Drosophila melanogaster: one gene and its partner. The protein of the gene in region 2 purifies or fractionates together with the protein of the main gene of each other region. This does not show direct contact. Each region holds a gene or a part of one and is shown on either strand. Other genes may lie near its edges. The genes, in order: CG10916 and Pngl.

The links.
Region 1: the proteins of Pngl (region 2) and CG10916 purify together in Drosophila melanogaster (affinity purification with mass spectrometry, with the first as the bait; one large-scale study listed by BioGRID). This does not show direct contact.

Annotation. Positions count from the first base shown.
Region 1 is NT_033778.4:18,171,732-18,176,263, reverse strand, and holds CG10916 (uncharacterized protein), read right to left. Parts: upstream 2,596-4,532; 5' UTR 2,455-2,595; coding exon 1,663-2,454; 3' UTR 539-1,662; downstream 1-538. Other genes in the region: CG5726 (uncharacterized protein), read left to right, coding at 1-184.
Region 2 is NT_033778.4:6,015,703-6,021,370, forward strand, and holds Pngl (PNGase-like), read left to right. Parts: upstream 1-2,036; 5' UTR 2,037-2,130; coding exon 2,131-2,506; intron 2,507-2,561; coding exon 2,562-2,653; intron 2,654-2,715; coding exon 2,716-3,551; intron 3,552-3,606; coding exon 3,607-3,691; intron 3,692-3,750; coding exon 3,751-3,847; intron 3,848-3,903; coding exon 3,904-4,313; 3' UTR 4,314-4,993; downstream 4,994-5,668. Other genes in the region: Strica (Ser/Thr-rich caspase), read right to left, coding at 5,643-5,668. UniProt on the Drosophila melanogaster protein: Specifically deglycosylates the denatured form of N-linked glycoproteins in the cytoplasm and assists their proteasome-mediated degradation. Cleaves the beta-aspartyl-glucosamine (GlcNAc) of the glycan and the amide side chain of Asn, converting Asn to Asp.

The DNA of each region.
Region 1 (4,532 bases), about 12 Mb from region 2:
GCACCAGCGGCACCGCCATTTCACACGCCGCTCCCAGCCAGACATCCATCAGCCGCAGAACGAGGAGAACTGGCAGGGGCAGGCGGATAAGGGCCAACCACCATCCGGAAAGGAGGAAAGCGAGCTGGTGCGGAATGCCCAGCAGACCACTCAGTACATGAACTATTTGTCGGCCCAGAAATGAGTTTATACACTTTACGAAGTCATCCACATGTACGAAAATTGTTTTTGAAGTCCGTTTAGAAGTTATTTGTTTCGCCTTCGTATATGTTTCCTAATGGATGTGTATATCCACGTAGACTGTTTTCACATTATTTTGTCTTCAACTGAGCTCAAATGTTAAACCAATACAAAACAATTTAGACCAATCACAAAACAAATCCATCTCAAATCCAGGCTTAAAGAATATTAAGCATGCATGCATTACACATTGGAGCCACTAAATTTGTAAATACCAATTATATATATATGAATGTCTTGTGTAGTCCCACACAACCACGCCACATAAACACTCCCACACAAAATACAGTCACACACACTCATTTTTATATTTATATATACAAATTGCTTAGAAACTAAGTACAAAGTCAATGAAAAAACAAAAATAATCCTATTTCTATTGAAAAGTAAAACGCCTGTTGGTGAAATGTTAAAAGCATGTTGAACATATAAAAATTTGTATTTTTAGCTAAATATATACTTATATATTAAATGTCATGTTATAGTGCAGGTTCAGCCGATTTATTAAACGAATTATACAAGCTTACGTATTTTTAAAGCAAATTTTGTGAGGCCCTCTGTTGGAACAACAAAGCCAAGCCGGAGTGCAGAGAAAAACATGAATTGTAGAGTTATACGAGTAGTCTTATATAGATACTTAAACCTCTTTGTTTAGGTATAATCAATATGTTCGCAACATGCGTAGGTTCAAAACACTAATCAGCATATAAATAGCGTCTAACACATTTTTAATAAAACAAAAAAATTGCATTATCATTAATCAAACATTAAAACAAATTCTTTTGAAAACTTTTGAAATCACCAGCAGAATGTCATAGTCTTACCTCCGTATTTACATCACCTGATTGGATGAATGTATTTTCCGAATCCTTGTGGGTGACTCCCCTCGTCTTCTGCGTTTCCACTTTCCAGAACTTCTGTGGGCAACTCTCGGTTGTGCATACTTTACAAAAGCGATAGTAAGAAAGCTTTAAGACCGCAGTTTTTATTAATCTTGCCATTTTGAAGACAGTTGGTCCGTTTTAGATACAATATACAAAAAACCAAGATTTCCGTTTATCGTAGGCATTGATCAAGTCAAGGTCAAAATATTTTTAAACCCGTGTCTAGTCACAAACATCTTCACTTTCCAAACTATTATAAAGAATTGCATACTTGAGGGCAGCAAATAGCAGACTAACTTATACATATGTATATGGGGACTTTTATTTGTACATAATTTGCTGGCAGTCAAAACAAAGTTATCAATTTTTCGCTTGATTAAAGAAATTGGGGACAAATCTTGGCTTACTGATAAGCGAATTTAAAACAAGTACAGAAATAATAGATCCGATTTTTTTCAAAAATAGAATAAGACGTACATATGTATTTATAACACAGATTCATACAATAAGGCATAAGAGATTTAAGATATCAGCAGCATCATCGATCTGCCTGGTCACGTGGGGTGACCACCAGGACTTCGTAGGTGTTTACGCTCACCTCTTGACCATGATGCGGGATGTACATGACCTTGTGGGAAGGATGCACCTTGCCCAGACGCAGGATACCCTGGTAAAGACCACGACCCGTGTAGGTGACCTCACCCAGCTCGGAGTAGCCCGTGTTCAGAGCATCCCGCGGATATGTTCCATGCTGTCCGGGCACCCACTTGTAGTCACAGTCGTTGAGCACCAGGATCTCGACATCATCGGTCAGAGTTCGGGCGCTACAGCTGTGCGAACCGAAGGCAGCCTTCTTTTCCGGTACATAAGGAGCAGGCAGGAGATCGTCGTGGTAATATCCTCTGGCCACATACGTGGGCAGTCCGTCTTCGTTGGTGCCACACTGCACAGCTCCCTCGGGCGGCAGGTGGGCATCCGGTAAGCTGTCTCTGTCCAGATCAATGGGCACCCAATCCATGGCCACCTTGGGCAATTCGGTGTCATCGAACTCCGGGGCCTCGGCGAAGTTTAGGTACAATCGGTGCACGCGTCGTCGGTCGCATGGGTCTCTGCATTGGGGGCAGGTCCTGGACCTATTCAGCCATCGGGTGAGGCAGTCCTTGTGGAATACATGACCGCACCGTGAAGTTGAGAAAATTATGTCGTTGGCCCGGAAAAACTCGTTGCAAATTGCACATAAAATGTTCAGTGAAGGTGATGAGTCATTTGTGGGTGCAGTTTCTGCGATTTTTCCGCCGTTACCTTCCATTTCACTACTATTACTCTCCATAACTACGTCCCTATGGATACTGAGCTTTGAATATGTGTGGCTCTATTCTTCTGTTCCAAATTTATTTCACAACAATGAGCGGAAAACGAAACGATTCGTATCAACTTTCCTGCTTTATTAGAGATGACCTCTGGAGAATACCAAATATACTAGAAATACTGTTATTTTAATAAGTTTGAATCTTGATTGAAAATAATCCTTTAAATATCTTATAGCATTAAGTAAGTAACATTTATATTAAGTAACATTTATATTAGCGTCTTAATCATAACTCTATTTTGGCTAAGATAATGTACTGTGCTATCATTTTGTGGTTATCTACTGGATCTTTACTTTGTATTAAAGTAGCGTTTCAAACCTGCACCAGTACTTCGTTGGTGCCAACGTTAACCTCTTGACCGTGCTGCGGGATGTACATGACCTTATGGGAAGAATGTACCTTGCCCAGACGCATGATGTCCGTCCTCGTTAGTGCCGCACTGCACTGCTTCCTCGGGCGGCAGGTGGGCATCCGATAAGCTGTCTCTGTCCAGATTCATGAGCAGAGGGTGCTCGGGAAAATCCCTGTTATTCTTGTGAGTCAGAGGACAGGCTTTTAACCGGGTACTTCTGCGAACAAGTTCGTCGTGAATGCACCTGTGGCCCATTGTCTGTTCGGGAATTAGTTTCCGAATCCGGTATGGCGATGGGTCATTTGTGGGTGCTTCTCAATTTTCCATTTCTTTGCTGTTACCATCCATATCTGAATCCCTTTACACACTGAGCTTTAAATACGTATGGCGCACTTGTTTTATTTTAAAATTAACGGATACGAGCTTTATAGAGATGGACTTTAAGTAGTGCCAGAAATACTGTTATTTTTATATTTCGTAAGTTTACATGGATCTCAAACGCTTATAACATTTAATTTCAAACTTTTTGCTAATATTTAGGTCTCAAGGTTTCAGAACAATTTTGTTTTATTTTGTTATAGATTTTTACTAAATAGACTAATTAAAGTGTATGCCAGTTGTTAAACAAATGTATTTCATAATCAGGAAGTCAAATATGTAATGTATATATATAATAAATTTGGATTTTATAGCTAAAAACTAATAAAAGGTTCACCTGTGCTCAATAATAGTTTCAAATACTGTTCAGGTCATTTTTAACACAAGAATTTATAAATATTTAAAATTAGCTATCGATAAGTGGCACCAGGTACTTACGATACTCAACCGATCTGGCAACGACGCGCGGTACGTGGCTTCGGGACACGGAAAACAATTTTACGGGAAAAGCTAAACAAATTATGTACAATTCGCAATAAATCCGAAAAGATATAGGGACAAACACCAGACGGAGAAGAGGAGCACAAAAGGCTGCATGAACTGTAAGTGCCAAGGACCAGATACCCGTTTCTTTTTCTGCGTTCACCCGTATCCTTTCACTTTTAATTGCTAAGTTCAACATACAACTACAAATGGATATTCAGCTGATTTACAGCTAGTGCGGTTTCTCAATGGCTCAAATTATGTTTCCCAAACTTGCCGCCACTCCAATGGAAACAAGTTAATGTGCGCATAATATGCAAATTTTCTGTTTGTTTTGGTTTGCCAAAATACAAACAATACATACATATGTACGCAAGTACATAGTACATATCTATGTTTGGCACACACACTGACGCATTAACTGCGCTCTTTGTTTGCCGCCTATAAATAAACGCCAAAAAATGCGTACGAGATTATGCCATTTGTTGCTTTTCAGCTGTGCTTTGCGTACGTCAACAAAGCTTTATTATATAAACAAATACAAAACGGCAATCAGCTGTTTCTAACAAAAAATAAACGGTTGAATAGCCTTGTCATTATCATTGTTTATTGTGCTTTGCCATAGATATATGTATGTATGTACAATGGCCATTTCACTATTAAACGAAATTATTAGAACGGCTAATTAAACTCTCTATCTTTGGCTCTCTTGTGTCTTCTTCCAAGCCCCTCTTTTGAGATATGCACATAATTGACGCAAATATTGCATCATGCGTTTCGAGGATTCCCCTCATTTATTTCACTATATGTATTCATTTGCAGTAT
Region 2 (5,668 bases):
TGACCATATACGCATAAAATTATGGTCTTTTTTACTTCCGAAGTGACTCCACCAACAATAAATGTGCGATAAGTTGGAAACGGTGAAGACTGGAGAGCGGACTTTTTTTAAAATTTTTTATTCATTGGTATACTGACGTGTTATCAACAAATTAGAAATGATCTAAGAATCCTTGAAAATGCATTTAAAAATTATGCAGTGTTCTCAAAATTCGACCAAAAGGGTTTTGAAAATACCGCCAAATGCTGTACCTGCACCACAGGGAAATCCATGTTATGAACCGATGTATAGCACTATCATTTCGACGCTAACTTTCAGAATGTATTACACCGTTTACAGAGCGTTTTGCCAAGTGGCCCGGTATCTCAACCTTTTGTTTTTAATTTCATTAACTAGCTGTGAAAGCTTTTGCATTAAGCTATGTAGAGTTTTCCAGGAAGTTGCAATTTCAGAACATATTTCAAAAAGTGTTGTGTGACATGAAATCAGCCTTAAATAACTTTTATATTAAAAGGACATGAATTTAGTTGGATTTTAACAAATATATATATATAAAATACTTAGGTTATTTTTATAATTTGCGTATGTACCTTGCGTACGTATGTGCCTTGCAGCTGAGAATATTTTCTAATGTTGGACAGAAACAGATACAAACAACATTCCCAATAGGGAATTCGCTCTTGATCAACATCTCTAGCCGAGGCGACCTGGCGATGTACTAATGTTAGCATAGACATCAAAGTCTCTGGAACTATATTGGTAGGATGTTAAAACTAATCATGCAAATTCTAGTGACGCCTACTTCGGGCAAGTTTGTTTTATTGTATAACTACGCCACTTTCACTCTAACGTCCACAAGCCACAAAAAACTGGCAAGCCCACAATTTTAAAATGAACTTGTTTTCGATTTCCAATATATGCAATGTATTCATCTAAATATTTTGCAGGAATATAATTTTTTTAATCTTTATTCCACATGTACGCTTCAGAATTGGTTGCTAAAACTGAATAAAGCGAATATCCAGTAATTGGATATCTAATATCCATTATACATTGTCTTTAGCATTCTCCTCTGAGAATAAGTTTTTTTTTCGCATGATTTCAATTGATATTTTTTACAATAACATAATTGTTTATCTCTAATTTAATGAAATAAGTTCGAACGTATCCATTACAGAATCCCTGAAATCTTTATAAGCCGAATATTATTCAGACTAAGAAGTAGCAAGCGTTATTCATAAAGATAACAAATAGCGTTAAAAAATATTGAAATATCTTGCCACATGAAAAACGATCTGTAAATGGTGTAACACATTTAGCAAGTTAACATTGGTATGTTGTTGTACATCGGTTCATGTCACTAATTTGCTTGGTGCGAGTGCTGGAGCTGGCAGTATTTTCAAGTCCCTTTGAGCTGTTCCTACTGTAAGGCGAATTTTCGGAGAGCTGTGCATAATTACTTTATCAATTTTCCAGGATCCTTGCTCTCATAAGCTTTCTCTTTGAGCAACAACAATGTAAACTTAATTTGAAACATGAACCGTCCATTTTAGAACACCCTTAGTCCTAAGTGGATTCCTAAAAATTTTTTTTTATTTTTCTATTACATTATGTATTTAATATATAATTTATATACTTCCAAGACCTAATAAATATTGGGAGTTCCAAATCAAAACATTCTTCGATCGCTACTAACTAAAAATGGTAATTGAATGCTTTGTGTATTTTTAATCCGTTTTTTTAAGCAAAAGATTATTGAGTAATTTTTATAATTTCAACACGTGATAACTTAATATTTCTAAGTAACTTATTTCCTATTTAAAGCAATTGTTGAAATTTAGAGATTTCTTACCTTTTTTAAAATGTCTATAAAAAGGAGATCCAAGCTCTATTTTTCGTGCATAAATTTGTTGTGCATCCCCACAGGAAAAGAACATGTACGCTAGTGGAATCCGGCTGGCTTCATTCAACAAAAAAAAACCTAAAAAACACCTCTTTTGTTATCGCTTGAAGTTCGCTAAACTAATCGCGTTTTCCAACACCATAACCCTTTGTGTCTGCATGATTGTCATCCGCCGGCCACCCCTACTAACGACGAAACCAATCTGATAGTGGCAGCTGGTCATCAACATGGTGGACATAAACTTGGAGTGCGTGCACCAGATCGAACCGAAGACCCGTTCTGCTGGTCAGCAGCAGCAGGAGCGAGGGTTAAAGGAAGCCTACCTGGAAGCGGTCCGCATTCTGTTAGTGCTGCTGGAGAACATCTTGGCGCAGCCGGAGAACTCCATGTTCCGCACCATACGGCAGGAAAACAAAGCTATTAAAGAAAAGCTGCTGTCCTTGCCCGGCTGTGAGAGGTTACTGGAAGCCATAGGCTTCGTACGCGCCCCCAGTTCCAACGCCTACACCTTGCCCACAGAGGTGTCACTGCAGCAGGTGAAGAAGTACAGAGATGCGCTGAGCGAGAGACGCACTGCCTGGCTTAACGGCACAGTGTCAAAAAGTAAGCTTTGGGGGCAAGACTGACATCCTAATCATCATGTCTCGGATTTTAATAGGTCCTCCTCAACAAAGCACCACCAGCACCACGCCCTTGTTCATCAAGCCTTCTGTGGAATATCGCCATAGAATCGCCTTCCCCCGTGTATTGGTAAGCCAGCCATCGAACAAGATAGACCTCTGCTGTATTCTGATGTGGAAGCTTGTTTTCAGCGCACCAATAATAACTTTCTGCAGTCGCTAGAGCTTTATTCCGATGCAGTCATGCAGTACGAGGATAACCTGCTGCTGGCTACTGGCCGCACTCTGATTCCTGTGGAAGAGCTCACCGAAATGGCAAGCGAGAAACTGATAGACATCCAAGATCAAATTGCGTCGGGTGAGCGCCAGGAGAAGGAGCCATGTGTTCGCGACTTGCTGCTTGTGGAGCTGGTAAACTGGTTCAACACGCAGTTCTTCCAGTGGGTAAACAATATACCTTGCCGCGTGTGTGGGAGTGAAGAGAGCAGGCTGCGCCGCACTGAACGGGAAGGTGATATAAGGGTGGAAGTCACCGTTTGCTGCGGCCAGGAGAGCAAGTTCTACCGCTATAACGACATTTCCCAGCTCCTAGTTTCCCGTAAGGGCCGTTGCGGAGAATATGCCAATTGCTTCACATTCCTCTGTCGCGCCCTCGACTACGACGCCCGTATTGTCCACTCGCATTTTGATCACGTCTGGACCGAGGTGTACTCCGAGGCCCAGATGCGTTGGCTCCATGTTGACCCCTCCGAGAACGTTATAGATTCTCCGCTGATGTATCAGCATGGCTGGAAACGTCACATCGACTACATTCTTGCATACTCTAGGGACGACATCCAAGATGTGACTTGGCGCTATACTAATGACCACCAGAAGATTCTACACCTACGAAAGCTGTGCGGGGAAAAAGAAATGGTGCAAACGCTGGACGCGATTCGAGCAAAGCGGCGGCAAAATTGCACCGCCGATCGAAAGTTATTCCTCAGCCAGCGCAATATGTACGAGGTCATCGGCTTGACGCTAGAGCGGTAAGCATTTACAGGAAACTGTTCGAAATTAAATTTAATCCCGTTTCCTGTTTAGTAAGCCGACAGAAAACGAGCTGAAGGGTCGGAGTTCGGGAAGTCTTTCTTGGCGGCAGTCACGTGGAGAGCATACTTTTACCAATGTAAGTGATCTGGCCTGAGACGCGCTGCCGGCCGTTTGTCACCTTTCATGTATTTACAGATATTCGTTTTCAATCTAAGTGCAACCGAACTACAAAAAAGGCAACTTAATGTGCGTTACAGCTGTGCCACCGATACATACGAACGATATGCCAAAGGCGAGTCATGAATTTATTTACAGCACTATGAATGCTTTTAACTTTTATATCCATAGAAGGAGAACACATCACTATTTTGGATAGCTATAAGACATGGCAAAAAGCGCAATTTTCCTCAAAGAACATATTTCGGAAAGTGGAACGCGATTGGAAAATGGCATATTTGGCTAGACTGGAGGATACCGATTGCGGAGAAATTGCCTGGACGTTTGATTTCAGCAAGACCAATTTAAAGGTTAAGTCTTACAACTTAGTTTTCGAGACAAAAACTTTTGGCGACGGAAAAATCAGCGTGACTGTCGATGCCACCGACGGAAGCGCTTCGGTTGAAAATGCCACTGGATTCAAAATAGTGGCCAAACTTACGGGTGGCAAGGGCGATGTAGCATGGCAACACACACAACTGTTCAGGCAGAGTCTTAATTCAAGAGACTATCCCTTCGATCTGCAAGTGCAACTACATTGAAGTCCTCAAAAAATATTTTGGAGAAATTAAAATGTAATTGTAAATAATATAAACGATTCCCAGTCTGGATGAAAATATAATAATCAAAAATGTATATTAAAAATTAAATAAAGGCACATAGTGTCGCTATATGTAATTATACTTGAAGTTTTAAGGACTAACTTTTATGAAATTTCTATATATATAGAACAAGCGCATGGAAACAGTTAATACAAAATATAAGGTTCTTAGATTTGGGTTGCAGTTAATTAAAATATGAATGACAAATTTAGAAACGACATTTAAACTTTATTTTCTTCTATATGTCAATATTTATTTCATCCGGAATCAAAGCAATAAATAATTTTATTGGTCACAATTGCTGGGACGATTTTTCAAGATTTACATATATAGATGAAAAAAGGCAAGACAATTAAAAAGACTAGATCGACTCGGCTAGTGATCCTGATAAAGAATTCATATACTTTGTATATTTTGCTTACAACTAACGGGTATACAAATAGATATCATATGTAGGTATTCAGCGATTTTCAGAGAACCGCGCAGTGATTTTGCCATTTTACATCACCAAAAAGTCATTCGATTATTGCCTGCCCTTTATGAATATCGGTATATTAAAATTTTTCGAAACATGTTTTTCGCTAATCATCTACAACAAAATGCGCATATATATATGAATCTTAAAATTTGGTTGAAACATCAAAACATTTTTGTGTAGAATATACATATATACAAAACTAATGTTACATATATTCTTTTAGCTGTATGGCATTTATCATTGGTACCATTACACTAAATTAGAGTTAGCAAACGGTCATACCTAATTTATTGGTAAGAATGGGTCATTATATTGGTATTGAGAAAAAATAACTGTTTTTATTTTATAATAACATTAAAACGTTAATTTTTAGTACAATAAAAGTTAAAAAATTTCAAGGGCACACGGTTTAACATTTTACATGCGATGACCGTTCTTAAAAAATCGACCAAAATAAAAAAAAGTTTTTCATATTTTCAGGTTCTGGTTACCGAAAATAGTTTTCCTTTAACAATTCCGACCCCAGACTAATTTTTTTTTAATATTTAGCCTCACACTTTTACCGCCTCTTTAGTTTGTGAGCTACCTCTCGATTGTTATATTAAGCTAAGATCGGACAACCATCGCAAATTTTCATTTCTTCGTATATATCACCTTCTTCTGGTACGCTTCGTCACTACGTGGACCAGACGCTATGTGCTATATACTATGTACATACATCTATCCATGTGCTATTTACATATATATTAATTTTGATATTTAATGGCGTGTCTTAGATTTAAGATCTATGGTCAAATATAATCTCCAAAAACGTACT